4 linked regions of the Saccharomyces cerevisiae S288C genome follow. The gene in region 4 interacts genetically with the main gene of each other region. Each region holds a gene or a part of one and is shown on either strand. Other genes may lie near its edges.

Region 1 (3,278 bases), on a different chromosome or scaffold from region 4:
TGGTCTCATTCAGGGATGTACAAATAGCAAGATTTAGACGTGTAGCGGGTCTGCCAAATGTAGATGACAAAGGAAAATCTATAAAAGAGAAAAAACCCTCATTAGATGAAATAAAAAGTATAATTAACAGAACTTCCGGTCCATTAGGACTGAATAAGGAGATGTTAACCAAAATTCAAAATAAAATGGTAGATGAGAAATTCACGGAAGAAAGCATCAACGAGCAAATTCGTGCCTTGAGCACTATAATGAATAATAAATTCAGAAACTATTACGATATTGGCGATAAGCTCTATAAACCTGCAGGAAATCCCCAATATTATCAACGGTTAATAAATGCCGTTGACGGTAAGAAAAAGGAAAGCTTATTTACTGCAATGAGAACTGTATTATTTGGTAAATAAAGAGCACATTATTTTCTAAGCTTGTAAATACATATTTATTCATAATGGAGAACGTTATTCAAATTTATCTGTGAATTTCTTTACTCGAGGTATACTTCCGCAAAGGAAATTCTACTTAGCAAATCCTATGGTAACGTCATTGTTTTGTAGCTTGTAAGTGGAGCCTAACTGATTCTTGATTTTCGTAGCATCAGCAACGGTCTCGTATTCCACGAAAGCTAGGTTACGAACGCTAACTAATCTGATTTCAACTAAAGCCTCATTGCCAAGTATTTGCGACAATAATTGCTCGGTAGTGCCGCTTGGCAAATTTTGTATAAGAAGGACTTTGTTCGGTGGATTTTCCATTGTATTGGACACTTTAGCCCGCTTAAGAGGTTTCTGCGATTGTTTTAGATTTTCTTGCTGAGACTTCATGTTTTCCAATCTACGGGTTTCAAATTCTTTTACAATCCTATCAATCTCAGCCTCCTCTACCTTTCTTGATCTCAGCTTATGCTTCAGGCGTCTTATTTGCCTTTTAAGCCTGAACTTTTTGGCGCATATATCATCACTACGTAACTTGCGTTTAAGTTTCCTTGCTTTAAGCACCTTCTTTATATCAAGGTTGTACGTTTCGTCATTACCTTTTTTTTTTTGCATTTCTATTGAAAGACCCAATAACGAATTTGTTCGAGCCTTTCCCATTCTCACTTTACGACCTTGAACTTTTAATGCTGTTGTCGTGTATTTTTCTAGAAACCGGTCTGCTTCTTCTTGAGTGACAAACGTTAAAAATGCTTGGTTAGTCATCTTTGATGATCTTGAAATAGAAACTTCAAGAAGGCCCATTTGATCATCTAGTAACATCAGCGGTTGTGATGATATTTGTAATTTATTGTGGGGAAGGGGTAGCGACGGATTAATGGCATACTTGTTGTTGGGATTAATGTGTTTCAGAAGTAATCTGGTATAATTTTCTTTATTTGCTGGCCTACTGGGTAAATTTTGAAAGTACAGTCTGTTTTTATTGGTCATAGAGTATAGAATAATGAAAACGTTAGTAGAAAGAAGATTTAAGGAAACGTAAATTACAAGGTATATACATACGCTGACATGGTTTCTTTAGGTTTGATGAGGCCGTCTTTTGTTGATAGCAGCTTTTTCCATTTTTTTTTTTTTTGTTTCGAGTAACGTATGGTTTAGTATCTGTCTTCTCCTTCTCTTACAAAAAAACCCTTTGTAAAATAGTGCCGAGTTGGAGGACATCAATCTGATGGGCAAGAAAACACCAACCCCCCCTATATGAAAAGAAAATGATAAGCAGATAGATAAAAATACTTAATTAACTAATACATAAAAATAAGAGGTATATAAAAATATTATATGGAAGCAATAATTATTACTCTTATTTCTTAGCAGCCTTTTGAGCAGCCTTGGTAACCTTAGCGGCCTTTTCAGTCTTGTCAACAGACTTGATAACACCGACAGCGACAGTTTGTCTCATGTCTCTGACAGCGAATCTACCTAATGGTGGGTATTCACTGAAAGCTTCAACACACATTGGCTTAGATGGAACGAACTTGACCAAAGCAGCGTCACCGGACTTCAAGAACTTTGGATGGTCTTCCAACTTCTTACCAGATCTTCTGTCGTTCTTTTCCAACAATTCGTCGAATCTACAAGCAATGTGAGCAGTGTGACAATCCAAAACTGGAGAGTAACCAGCAGAGATTTGACCTGGATGGTTCAAAACAATGACGGTAGCGTTGAAAGAAGCGCAACCCTTTGGTGGATCGTTCTTAGCGTCACCACAGACGTTACCTCTTCTGATTTCCTTAACGGAAACGTTCTTGACGTTGAAACCAACGTTGTCACCTGGAACACCTTGTTCCAATTGTTCGTGATGCATTTCAACGGACTTGACTTCAGTGGTAACACCAGCTGGGGCGAAAGTAACAACCATACCTGGCTTGATGACACCGGTTTCAACTCTACCGACTGGCACAGTACCAATACCACCGATCTTGTAAACATCTTGCAATGGCAATCTCAATGGCTTGTCAGTTGGTCTAGATGGTTGTTCAATGGCGTCAATGGCTTCCAACAAAGTCTTACCCTTGACGACACCGGCCTTGGTTTCCTTTTCCCAACCCTTGTACCATGGAGCGTTGGTGGTAGCTTCAATCATGTTGTCACCGTTCCAACCAGAGATTGGGACGAATGGAACAGTCTTTGGGTTGTAACCAACCTTCTTGATAAAGTTGGAGGTTTCCTTGACAATTTCTTGGAATCTGGATTCGTCCCATTTGACGGAGTCCATCTTGTTGACAGCAACAATCAATTGTCTAACACCCAAGGTGAAAGCCAACAAAGCGTGTTCTCTGGTTTGACCATCCTTAGAGATACCGGCTTCGAATTCACCGACACCACCAGCAATAATCAAGATAGCACAGTCAGCTTGAGAAGTACCAGTAATCATGTTCTTGATGAAATCTCTGTGACCTGGAGCATCAATAACGGTAACTTGGTACTTTGGAGTTTCGAACTTCCACAAAGCAATATCGATAGTGATACCTCTTTCTCTTTCAGCCTTTAACTTGTCCAAAACCCAAGCGTACTTGAAAGAACCCTTACCTAATTCAGCGGCTTCCTTTTCGAACTTTTCGATGGTTCTCTTGTCAATACCACCACACTTGTAAATCAAATGACCGGTAGTGGTAGACTTACCAGAATCGACATGACCGATAACGACAACGTTAATGTGAGACTTCTCTTTACCCATGTTTAGTTAATTATAGTTCGTTGACCGTATATTCTAAAAACAAGTACTCCTTAAAAAAAAACCTTGAAGGGAATAAACAAGTAGAATAGATAGAGAGAAAAATAGAAAAT
Region 2 (3,045 bases), on a different chromosome or scaffold from region 4:
TAAATTCGGATGAGAAAGCAAGCGGAGATGTGCACACACTCGTTTCTGGGACCCCGGATCTCTCAAATTTTAACCTCGATAATGAACCACTGGAAAACATACTCGCTGTTTTCATAATATCTTTTATTATTGTAGTGGTTGGAGTTTTACTACTTGGGTTGATTGGCATGATATTCATATCTCTCCGTTCAGGCAGCAGTAATGATAAGAAACTACAGTCCAACGATGAAGAAAAGCAAGCACTTGCTGAAAAAGCATGAAATAAAAATAGATATAATAGATGGCACCGCTCTTCACGCCCGAAAGTTGGACATTTTAAATTTTAATTCTCATGATAGTAACGATCGTGCACATTCAATTAATTATCGCATACCAAACATTTTTTTTCCTTTTTCAATTCAACTAATCTCAATTTTTTAATTTTCCTTTTTTTATTTCCTTTTTTTTTATTCTCATCATACCATTTTCATTCGTTGTTGATATCTCTATTGTTTTTTTTGGCAAAATATAGTCTACATATAATATTTAATAATCTAATCTGATAGCGTTAATTTCCATACCGCCTCCTTTTATATCCGTTGGCACTCGACGGTTTCCGTATGCCGTCGGAATGCATCCGCTTCTTGGACTCCTTGATCGTGGTTTGCAGTATATCTACACTGTAAAATATAGAAGTTTTTGGAATGGTGTTACTCCATTGTGATAATATCTTTGGGGGTTCTAGCTTCTTTGGGTTATTCAACCTAGGAAATGGATTGCTCTCGCACGTCTCATCTCTGGATCTTGAAGTTTGCTTGAAGGAATGGTGTGCAGATTTTTCATTGGCTCTTTGGGGTAATTTGCTGGCTTTAACCAAATCTCCTATATCAAACCTGTTAGCATCCACAAATACTTTGGAATATCCTGGTGAGCCATCGTATAACAATTTCAAGGTATCTATTGAGGTTTGTGCCAGTTCTTTTTGGTTCATTTTCTTCACATGCATGATGTGTCTTTTCTCCTTATTTGAAAGGCATGTAACTTTTAGCGTCTCATTTTGACTACTGTTTTCTCTTTCTTTCCTGCCTCTTTTTCCAATGTGGCGTCTTTTATGATTATGTTTATTAATAATGTCTCTTGCTTTGTTCCTATAATAGTCAGCTGTTATACGAAGGTGATTCTTACCGACCAAGTGCGATTTACGAACGCTCAACGTGTCATGGGTCAAATACGAATGACAGTATTCACAATAGTATCTCGTCATTGCCTATCTCTTTCCTCTCCGTTACTTGAGCACCTTCATCGCCTACACTAGGAGCTCATATTATATCTTCAGTATAGCAAGAATATTTTCTGTTATCCTTAACGCTTACCCGCCTATGTACCTTGACACTTGCGGAAATCTAGTGTTCAATGATAAGGTACTGTGTGGAACATATGAAAGTGAAAAGAGTTTGAACCGTTTATTATCTCTATACAAGTGTCTCTATTCACATATAAAAGAGTGAAAATAAAAATAACTTTTAAGATTTTATTACCTACATGAGATTAGAAAAATCATAACTATATTACTCAGCGGCTGTGCCTGTTGTTGATCAAAAGAAAAGATCCGCCCCTTCGAACGTCTTAGTGCCGCCTTTTGCCCGCTTATCAATTTTCTCTGAGGGAACATAACGGCATTTATCTATTCGACTTCCAAATCTACATACACGTATATAGATACATATATATATGTGTGTGTGCGCCTGTGTGTACTAGCACTTCTCAATATTATAATTCTTCCGTAAAGTTCGATCGTGACTTCCTGTTGCACAGTTATCTTAAATAATAGAATAAAAAGCTAACGCAGATTCAAGTGGGGCGTTGTCAGGCACACAAAAAGACAAGACAAAAAGTAGCGTACTAGACTTACAGTTATGCTGTTGTGTAATAGAAAAGTCCCCAAGACTTTAAATACCTGTTTTATACTGCATATATTCACTCTGTTAACACTGGGTGTGTTAGTGTCCGGAATGCCGTCAAAAATGGTATCATTCGCCTCTCAGGAGACTTTGCAGAGAATAAATAATCTCCTTCGAGGGTCTGCCAATCGAGATGTTGACATTATTGCAGAATATTTGAAAAAAGACGACGATGATGATGGCGGCGATAAGGATCACCATAACATCGATATTGACCCTTTACCTCGCCGTCCTAGTTTAACGCCTGATAGGCAACTTCTAAAAGTCGGTTTGCATGGTGCTATAAGTTCAGATTTAGAAGTCTGTAGTAATTTGACTATAAATGAGGTACTCCTGAAATTTCCCGGTTCTAACGCTGCAGACGCTGCAGTAACACAAGCTCTTTGTAAGGGTATGGTGAATTTTTTTAATAGTGGGATTGGAGGTGGTGGCTACGTAGTTTTTTCTGGCAAAGACGATGAAGATCATCTATCCATTGATTTTAGAGAAAAAGCACCCATGGATTCACATAAGTTCATGTTCGAAAACTGCTCTCTATGCTCAAAAATAGGGGGTCTTGCTGTCGGTGTTCCAGGTGAATTGATGGGTCTCTATCGCCTCTTTAAAGAAAGAGGTAGCGGCCAAGTTGATTGGCGTGATCTAATTGAACCAGTCGCAAAGCTGGGAAGCGTGGGTTGGCAAATAGGCGAAGCACTCGGTGCCACTTTAGAACTTTATGAGGATGTTTTCCTGACATTGAAGGAAGATTGGTCGTTTGTATTGAATTCTACCCATGACGGTGTTTTGAAAGAAGGCGATTGGATCAAGAGGCCGGCACTATCTAACATGCTAATGGAACTGGCTAAAAATGGTTCCGTGGCCCCATTTTATGACCCCGATCACTGGATTGCAAAATCCATGATTGATACTGTCGCAAAATACAATGGAATAATGAACTTGCAGGATGTTTCATCGTATGATGTTCATGTTACTAAACCACTGTCCATGAAAATTAGGAAGGGCGCCAATTTCATCCCTGATAACGATATGACCGTATTAACAAGTAGCGGCTCAAGTTCCGGGGCTGCACTACTTGCGGCGTTAAGGATAATGGATAATTTCCAGA
Region 3 (3,481 bases), on a different chromosome or scaffold from region 4:
ATTACATATTCGTCTTCCTCTTTAATAGAATATCGATTCATGGATAACGGAATAACTTTATTTTCTACCACAATTGATGGCTGTCTTGCAATTGCATTTAGGGCCGTCGATGGTTTTGACCTTACCAATCTTGACCTCGAGTACATGCTGCTGTTGCGAGTGACGGCATGACTAACATTATCCGGTACAGAAATGAAGGAGTTTTTATTATTTGCCGGTGTCATAGTGGCAGATGCGGTTAGGATGGATGCAGCCCTTCTAATAGAGGAATTTGTTCTTCTCAATGATGGAGTATAGCTTACCAAAGGGCTCCTTGGGGTGTTTGATCCAACTTTGGAATCTTCAGATTGGGGATGGTTTGCTTTAAATTTCGTATCAACTGTCAAAGGTTTAGTCTTTTTTTGTGGAGCCAATACAGGTACTAAAGATTTTGATGAGATCGACCGTTGTAAATTAGAGACGTATCTCTGCGATTTTTTTTGACGCGGAGTAGAGTTGCTGTTTTTGTTGACTAGGTTCGTCCCTCTTTTTTTTGACTTGTTGTTAATGTTTGCTTTAGATTTAGTGGTTTTGGAATTCGTGGCGGAGGGGACCTTTTGAACATTATATGAAAACAGTCTTCTTCTTAAAACTAGCCGTAATTTCCGTAACTTTTTCTTTATCTTGATTCCCAATGAGGTGAAATAATATAAGAGTCCGCCCTTACATCTAATAGCTTTTGATCGTTTTAGAGAACAACGACTGCTACTTGATTTACTGCTGACACTTGAACTATACCTGGAATTGGAAAACCTCGAGGATTCAACTCGTCTTATGGTCGGAACTCTGTTTAGCTTTTTTTTAGGTTTCGGTACTACGCTATTGTTTAATTCGATAGTTTTTATATCCTTTTCCATATTTAATTTGGTCATCGGTTTGGCTTCTTGGGTCGACGGCAGAATGGCGCTTTTAGATGTCGATTTCCTTGGTAATAACGATGATGCTGATGACGGCGCGATATCGTAGGAAACATTATCTGCTGTTGGGATAGTCTGGAATGCCGTTGAGATTGAGCCAGTTATGTTTCCCTCTGGAATAGCTTCCATTGAATGTAACTGGTTTTTAACTACATTTGAGCTGCTATAATGAAGAGAGTCATTTCCTGGGAAGTCATGAGAAGCAAAAAAGTCACTTTTGTTCGAGTCTGAGGAAGTTAATCTAGCGGTTTCATTTTGATTGATTACAATACGTGGTGAAGACGTAGTATTGTCAGAAATGTTAGCAAATGAATAGTATCCATTTGATGAATAACCGGAATTTGTATTTGTATTGGAAGTGGATGTATAGTCTGATAATGTTTGAGAGTTTCCGTCTTCATCGCGAGAAACTCCATTTTCTGCTGCAAACACATCATTTAAAAGATGATGATTATTCAAATGGTACTCTTCTAGCGTTCCTCTTGGTAAACTTTCGTTAGACGGGAATTTAAAATCCATTTGATCGCCTCTAAACGACTTGGTTTTTGTCCTTATTGGAGCTCTGATGATCATTCCGTATGATATATTTGTTGTGATAATAAGCCAAATTTATTTGAGCACTATTGTTAAGTTAATTGTTCTTGTTTTACTTGTTAAGCCGTTAAGTTGTCAACCGAATTATCAAGCACTTAAATCTATATATACAACATATTTGTACAAGAATTGATGACCTGCTGAAAGCCCAGCAATCTGGTTATCCCAGTTGAACATGTTTAAGGATAGGCATATCGACTTCTTTATCTTACTAACCGAAATATTGAATTGCCTGTGTAATGAATGGCTGGAGCAGCCTTTTTTTTATCTTCGCCAGCCATCGCTTTTTTTGAATATTTTCCACATGAAAACAATGTATGAAAAATTCTAAGGCATCGCACCAAACTATATGAAGGGGAAGTGAGTTATTCCGCAAACAGCGAGTAAGTTTTTCGTTGTATTGATTGCCCATATTATATACCGTGTTGTGGGGGCAACAGACAGAAGTAGAAGAAAAAATTTTTGTTGATTTAACTGAAGTGATGGGAAGGACATTTATTCATGCTTCGAAAATAAAACATGCGGCACGCAAAAGAAAACATCATTCCAACTTTAGAACTCTGATCAAATTATTGAACAATGATGCCTATAAGATAGAATCATCAAAACCGTTGAAAAATGGTAAACTTTTCAAATACTGGAAAAATAGGCGTAGATTGTTTTCAAAGATAGATTCGGCGTCGATATATATGACTGATGAGCTGTGGTTCAGTGTGACGCCCGAAAGAATTGCCTGCTTCCTGGCAAATTTTGTTAAGGCATGCATGCCAAATGCCGAAAGAATACTGGATGTTTTCTGTGGTGGGGGCGGGAACACCATACAATTTGCCATGCAATTTCCTTACGTCTATGGAGTGGACTACAGTATTGAACACATATATTGTACTGCGAAAAACGCCCAAAGCTACGGTGTGGACGACAGAATATGGCTGAAGCGGGGATCCTGGAAAAAGCTAGTCTCTAAGCAGAAACTTTCCAAAATAAAGTACGACTGTGTATTTGGATCACCCCCGTGGGGTGGTCCAGAATACTTAAGAAACGATGTGTATGACTTAGAGCAACATCTAAAGCCTATGGGGATTACCAAGATGTTGAAAAGTTTTCTTAAACTAAGCCCTAATGTGATTATGTTTTTGCCAAGGAACTCTGATTTGAACCAGCTTTCTCGAGCTACGAGGAAAGTACTAGGTCCATTTGCCAAATGTAAAGTATTATATGTAAAGGAGAATGGATATATGAAAGGAATATTTTGCATGTGGGGGGAATGCTTTTTTAACTACGAACCAGCAAGTACGGAGAATAGTCGAAGGGAGTCGTCCGAAAAGGAAGAGCTGAGTTCTGAAAACGAAGAGCTCTCGAAAAGAAAAAAGCATGAATCCACAACAACGACCAAAGATAATACTGTAGACATTTACGACGTAAATGGTTAAACACTTGTTCAAGTTGAATCGTATGATAGAAAATGCAATGACTATGTTATGAATGTATATATAGCACATAAAGAGGATCGCTTACGTGAATTTGGGAATAATTAAAACGTTCTTTTAGCTGCGGCTGCTCGTCGATAGGAGTGATAACAAATTAAGAATTAGAAGGGATGTCTTTTTTTTCTACCAGCAAGTTGCCACGCGCTTCAGACTTTAGAAGAGGTAGTAGCAATCCCTTCGAATGAGGTTCGATTATATCTCTCACCATTCCACGATTTATCACGGAAATACCATTCAAAAATAAATAAGGCGACTGAATGGATTCCAAGGCAGCACTAGTATCGATATTTAGTTTATTTTGTTTGATATACTTTTCTAATTCATAGCCATGAGAGTGTTTTTCCAAATCAACAGTGGCCAATTCGGGTGAAATCTCAAATTCTCTTTGTAATAGATTTTTTAAGAAAATGGAGTCTGCTTGTGATGATTTAATGAATAATACCG
Region 4 (3,714 bases):
CATTACGTAGTCTTGGAAGATAGCGCAACGGGAAATCTTGACACAGTAAGAAACATTTACAGTATAATAATACTAAAAATAAAATTAAGATACATCAATATAAAATTTTCGACAAATACAGAAAAGAACAGAGAAGAAAAAATGAAGGTGACGCAAAAAAGGAATTGACAGGCCGTAATGAGTAGTGATGGAAAGAAGGTAAATGGAAGTAATAAAGGAAAATCATAAACATGCTTAAAAGCGTACAATCTTGAATTGAATTAAGAATAACAATAACCTTGAAAGAAATGAAAATCAAAAGGAAAAACGCAACTATAACGATACAAAAAAGACTTAATAAAAGGACATGGAATCTTGAAAACGATAAAAAGCAATGAAAAAAAGAAAATAAAGCGCTGTTATATCACCGTCAGCCTAAGACCAAATACAATTTAACACTGAAGTAAAGAAAATACCAAGAAAGAAAAAGGGCCAAAAGGAAAACAAACATTTTTATATACACGTGTGGCTCAAGCAAACATAAAACCATTACTGCCTTGTTCCAAACGGTTTAACATTGCATTAGTGCTGTTAACAACCGCTTCGCTTCCTTGCATGATAACTTGTTGGCCACCCGTGCCTGAGAGGTCCATAGAGCTAGTGTCAGCCAGTAAACTAGTAGCTTGCGTATTTGTAGCATTATTATTACTGTAGAAACTGAAATTGTTCGAGCCTAATCCATTCGCATTAGCGTATGGATTAGAATAATTCAGAATTTGACATCCAGGAAGCATCGTGGATGAAACATTATTATCTGGCAGAACAGGTGCTTCACACGTACTGGATGGAATGTATCCGTAGTTAGGTTGCTGTAAACCTGGTTGCTGTTGTTGAACCTGTAAAGAGTTACTTAACATGGCTTGCTGAAGCAACGCTGTTTGCTTAGCAGACCTGCCCCAAGACAGTCTAACTCTTGAATTTGCAATGGGGAACCCTTGCATCCCAGCAATGGCAGCCTCAGCCGATAGCCGATCAACATACTGGACAAACCCGCAACATTTGCCTACCGGAATTTTGACATAGACTATCGTGCCAAAAGGTTGGAAATAAGCACGTAATTCGTCTTCAGTCACCAGTGATGACAATCCTCCGATAAACACAGTGGTGTTATTCGGATCAGTGAAGTGGTTTAAAGACGGCTGCTGTTGGACTGGATAAATGAATTGAGACATATGGTTTCTCTTAAAGCCCATGTTATTATTTCCATTGCTTAAAAATGATTGACCCTTGGAAAGAAATCTCGAGTCTACATTTTCGTTGTTTAGTGACGAAGAACTACGGTTGTAATCGTTGTTACCGCTGACATGCTGCTGCTGACCAGATGTGGGTCCTACTTTTATGGCTCTACCATTTAAAAATACGCCTTGCATTTCTGACAGAGCTAACTGTTGTTCATCAGAATTGGTAAACTTTACAAAACCGTAGCCCTTAGACATCCCGGTAACCTGGTCGTGCACAATTTTGGCATGAGAAGTAGAAGCATATCTGTTAATGAAAAGTTCAAATAATTGAGACTCTGTAACATTTGGTGCTAAGTCTCCAACAAATATAGAACAGTTGTTACCACTCTTCACGTTGTTAAGAGAATTGTTGCTGTTTGAATATGAGGATGTAGCCCAGTTTAATTTCAATTTTTTATTTGGAAAATTGGGTATAAGCATACCATTCTTTAAAAGTGCATTTGCTGCATGAGTAGATGAGGGAAAATCAACAAAGCAATATCCTTGATTATTCTTTGGACCCATTGATGATCTCGACCCATTATTAAGCGTATTATTCCACATCATCCGGACATTAATATTCGCTTCTCCCAGAGATGCCCAAATTTGCCTAACGGTATTCTTATCCCATGTAGGATCCAAGTCGCCCATGTACAATTGGTTACCAGTGGTCCCTAAACTCACGTTAGATGCGCCTTGAAGACTCAATACGCTTGTACTGCTATTGTTGGTTTCTGAGGAAATAGTATTAGTGTACGGAGATGAGTCGTTTCTTACCAGATTACCCCTGCTAGGATAATATGTTGTTTGTTTATAGGACATTTGTACCCGCAATGTATTAGGAACTTTTGACGGGATATAGACACGAACTTAATCGACTAAGCTGATAAAATGAAGGGAAAGTAACCTAAGGGCAAAGAATATGGTTCGGTGTTTGACTACCCGAATAAGGTCACGTCGATTTAAATGTTGTCACTAAAGGAAAGCTCTGATATAAGGATGTACGCACACACAATTTCACCACCAACTCGAATCTGAATAATCCCTGAAAAGCCCTTCCCTTTGTGCCAATAGTATTTGAAAAATAAACAAACTTAGATCTACTTAAAAAAAATCCAAGATTCTGCATTTTTCGCCCTGCCTCTCCTGAGGGTAACAAAAAAAAAAGTACAATCTATCAATTATATATTGTATTCTTATGAAACGTCAATCAAAGATTTTTGCAAGCAGCGTTTTAAGCTTGTTTGCACTTTTACCACATTCACCACCTTCCTTGATAATTACTTCGATTTTCTTACGTACTATAGGCAGGAATTGTTCGATAAATACCGCTTTTCGAGTATCGATATCCTGTGTTGCCAATGACAGTAGTGTGGCATTTACTCCACTGGAGGTAGCATCCTGAACTTTCAATTCTCTGGTAAATAGTTTCAAGTGCTCAAACGGCTGCGGATAATCTGGGATTAAATATGGGTTTCGTAGCGTACCGCTGTCCTCTGTAGTCTCTGCCGTGTCTCCGTCGCTTCTAGCGCGTTCATCCTGACATCCGTATTCAACAAGAGTGTACAGAGCATTGAGATGAATAGTGACATATTTGGCGTTTCGCTTCTTCGTTTGCACTATGCTAGCGCTATCATTTTTCCCTACCTGTCCCCAACCGAGCACTCCAAAGACACCGTTCAAAAGTTTTACCCAAGATTTCCTAACCACTTCATCTCCGCAATACTTCAACAGATGAGAGAGAAATTTAGTAGAATCTGCTTGAATTTGTGTAACAATATGTGTCATTGCCATGTTAATGTATAAGACAAAAATGTTGCAGTGCAATTTTAAAATCTCCGCATCGTGACTACCTATTTCATCTACGAGATCAATAAGTCCCTGACGTACTTGCTGCGATTCATCGCAAATCAACGGTATACTTTGAGTAAGTAATGGTGTCATAAGTCGAGATTTTATTATAGACGGTATTGACTTTTGGAATGTTGTTAATGTTTCCTTTCTCACATTGATGTTATGATGCTTTAAGAGCGTTAGCCGTTTTGTTAAATCATGTGGATTTTGGTCTAAATGTTGATTTCTAATAGAAATAGTCTTGGAAACGAAAGATGTATCGGTAGCATTCCTTGCTTTTTCCTTTGGCTTACCAACTTTTAACTTTTTTCTCAAAAAATCCTGCTTTTTTTGCTTCTGCTTTCTTGATTTTGTCATTTATTAACTTTGTTTATCTCTGCACCTTTTTCTTTTTTGATTACAACTTTTAACTATTATGAACATCGATGCCTTCACCTTATAATTAGGAATCTCGCTTTTTCTGGTGGAAAAATTTTCCGATGGCCTTTGCCATTCTGAAAAATAAAAGGCAATACTACGTTGGTATCAAAATAGTGGATAAACACATATTGTAATACTAAGCGATCATGTAGTTTTGGAGGTCATGTTAAGAAACTCATTG

Evidence for each region.
Region 1: mutations in NAM8 (region 4) and MUD1 together harm fitness more than expected from each alone (negative genetic interaction), as found in Saccharomyces cerevisiae (4 studies listed by BioGRID, with this or other methods).
Region 2: mutations in NAM8 (region 4) and YHC1 impair growth when combined (synthetic growth defect), as found in Saccharomyces cerevisiae (4 studies listed by BioGRID, with this or other methods).
Region 3: mutations in NAM8 (region 4) and TGS1 are lethal when combined (synthetic lethality), as found in Saccharomyces cerevisiae (4 studies listed by BioGRID, with this or other methods).

What each region holds. Positions count from the first base shown.
Region 1 is NC_001134.8:477,561-480,838, reverse strand, and holds MUD1 (Mud1p), read right to left. Parts: upstream 1,502-3,278; coding exon 1,494-1,501; intron 1,405-1,493; coding exon 516-1,404; downstream 1-515. Other genes in the region: CBP6 (Cbp6p), read left to right, coding at 1-404; TEF2 (translation elongation factor EF-1 alpha), read right to left, coding at 1,792-3,168. UniProt on the Saccharomyces cerevisiae protein: Involved in nuclear mRNA splicing. The principal role of the U1A is to help fold or maintain U1 RNA in an active configuration. It is the first snRNP to interact with pre-mRNA.
Region 2 is NC_001144.5:724,174-727,218, forward strand, and holds YHC1 (Yhc1p), read right to left. Parts: upstream 1,244-3,045; coding exon 548-1,243; downstream 1-547. Other genes in the region: YLR297W (uncharacterized protein), read left to right, coding at 1-260; ECM38 (gamma-glutamyltransferase), read left to right, coding at 1,896-3,045. UniProt on the Saccharomyces cerevisiae protein: Component of the spliceosomal U1 snRNP, which is essential for recognition of the pre-mRNA 5' splice-site and the subsequent assembly of the spliceosome.
Region 3 is NC_001148.4:252,782-256,262, forward strand, and holds TGS1 (RNA methyltransferase), read left to right. Parts: upstream 1-2,032; coding exon 2,033-2,980; downstream 2,981-3,481. Other genes in the region: AIM44 (Aim44p), read right to left, coding at 1-1,529; pheromone-regulated protein PRM4, read right to left, coding at 3,132-3,481. UniProt on the Saccharomyces cerevisiae protein: Catalyzes the two serial methylation steps for the conversion of the 7-monomethylguanosine (m(7)G) caps of snRNAs and snoRNAs to a 2,2,7-trimethylguanosine (m(2,2,7)G) cap structure.
Region 4 is NC_001140.6:276,520-280,233, reverse strand, and holds NAM8 (Nam8p), read right to left. Parts: upstream 2,082-3,714; coding exon 510-2,081; downstream 1-509. Other genes in the region: YHR086W-A (uncharacterized protein), read right to left, coding at 1-3; IPI1 (Ipi1p), read right to left, coding at 2,466-3,470. UniProt on the Saccharomyces cerevisiae protein: Component of the U1 small nuclear ribonucleoprotein complex (U1 snRNP) involved in the initiation of meiotic recombination. Involved in the formation of DSBs at recombination hot-spots through meiosis-specific splicing of REC107 pre-mRNA.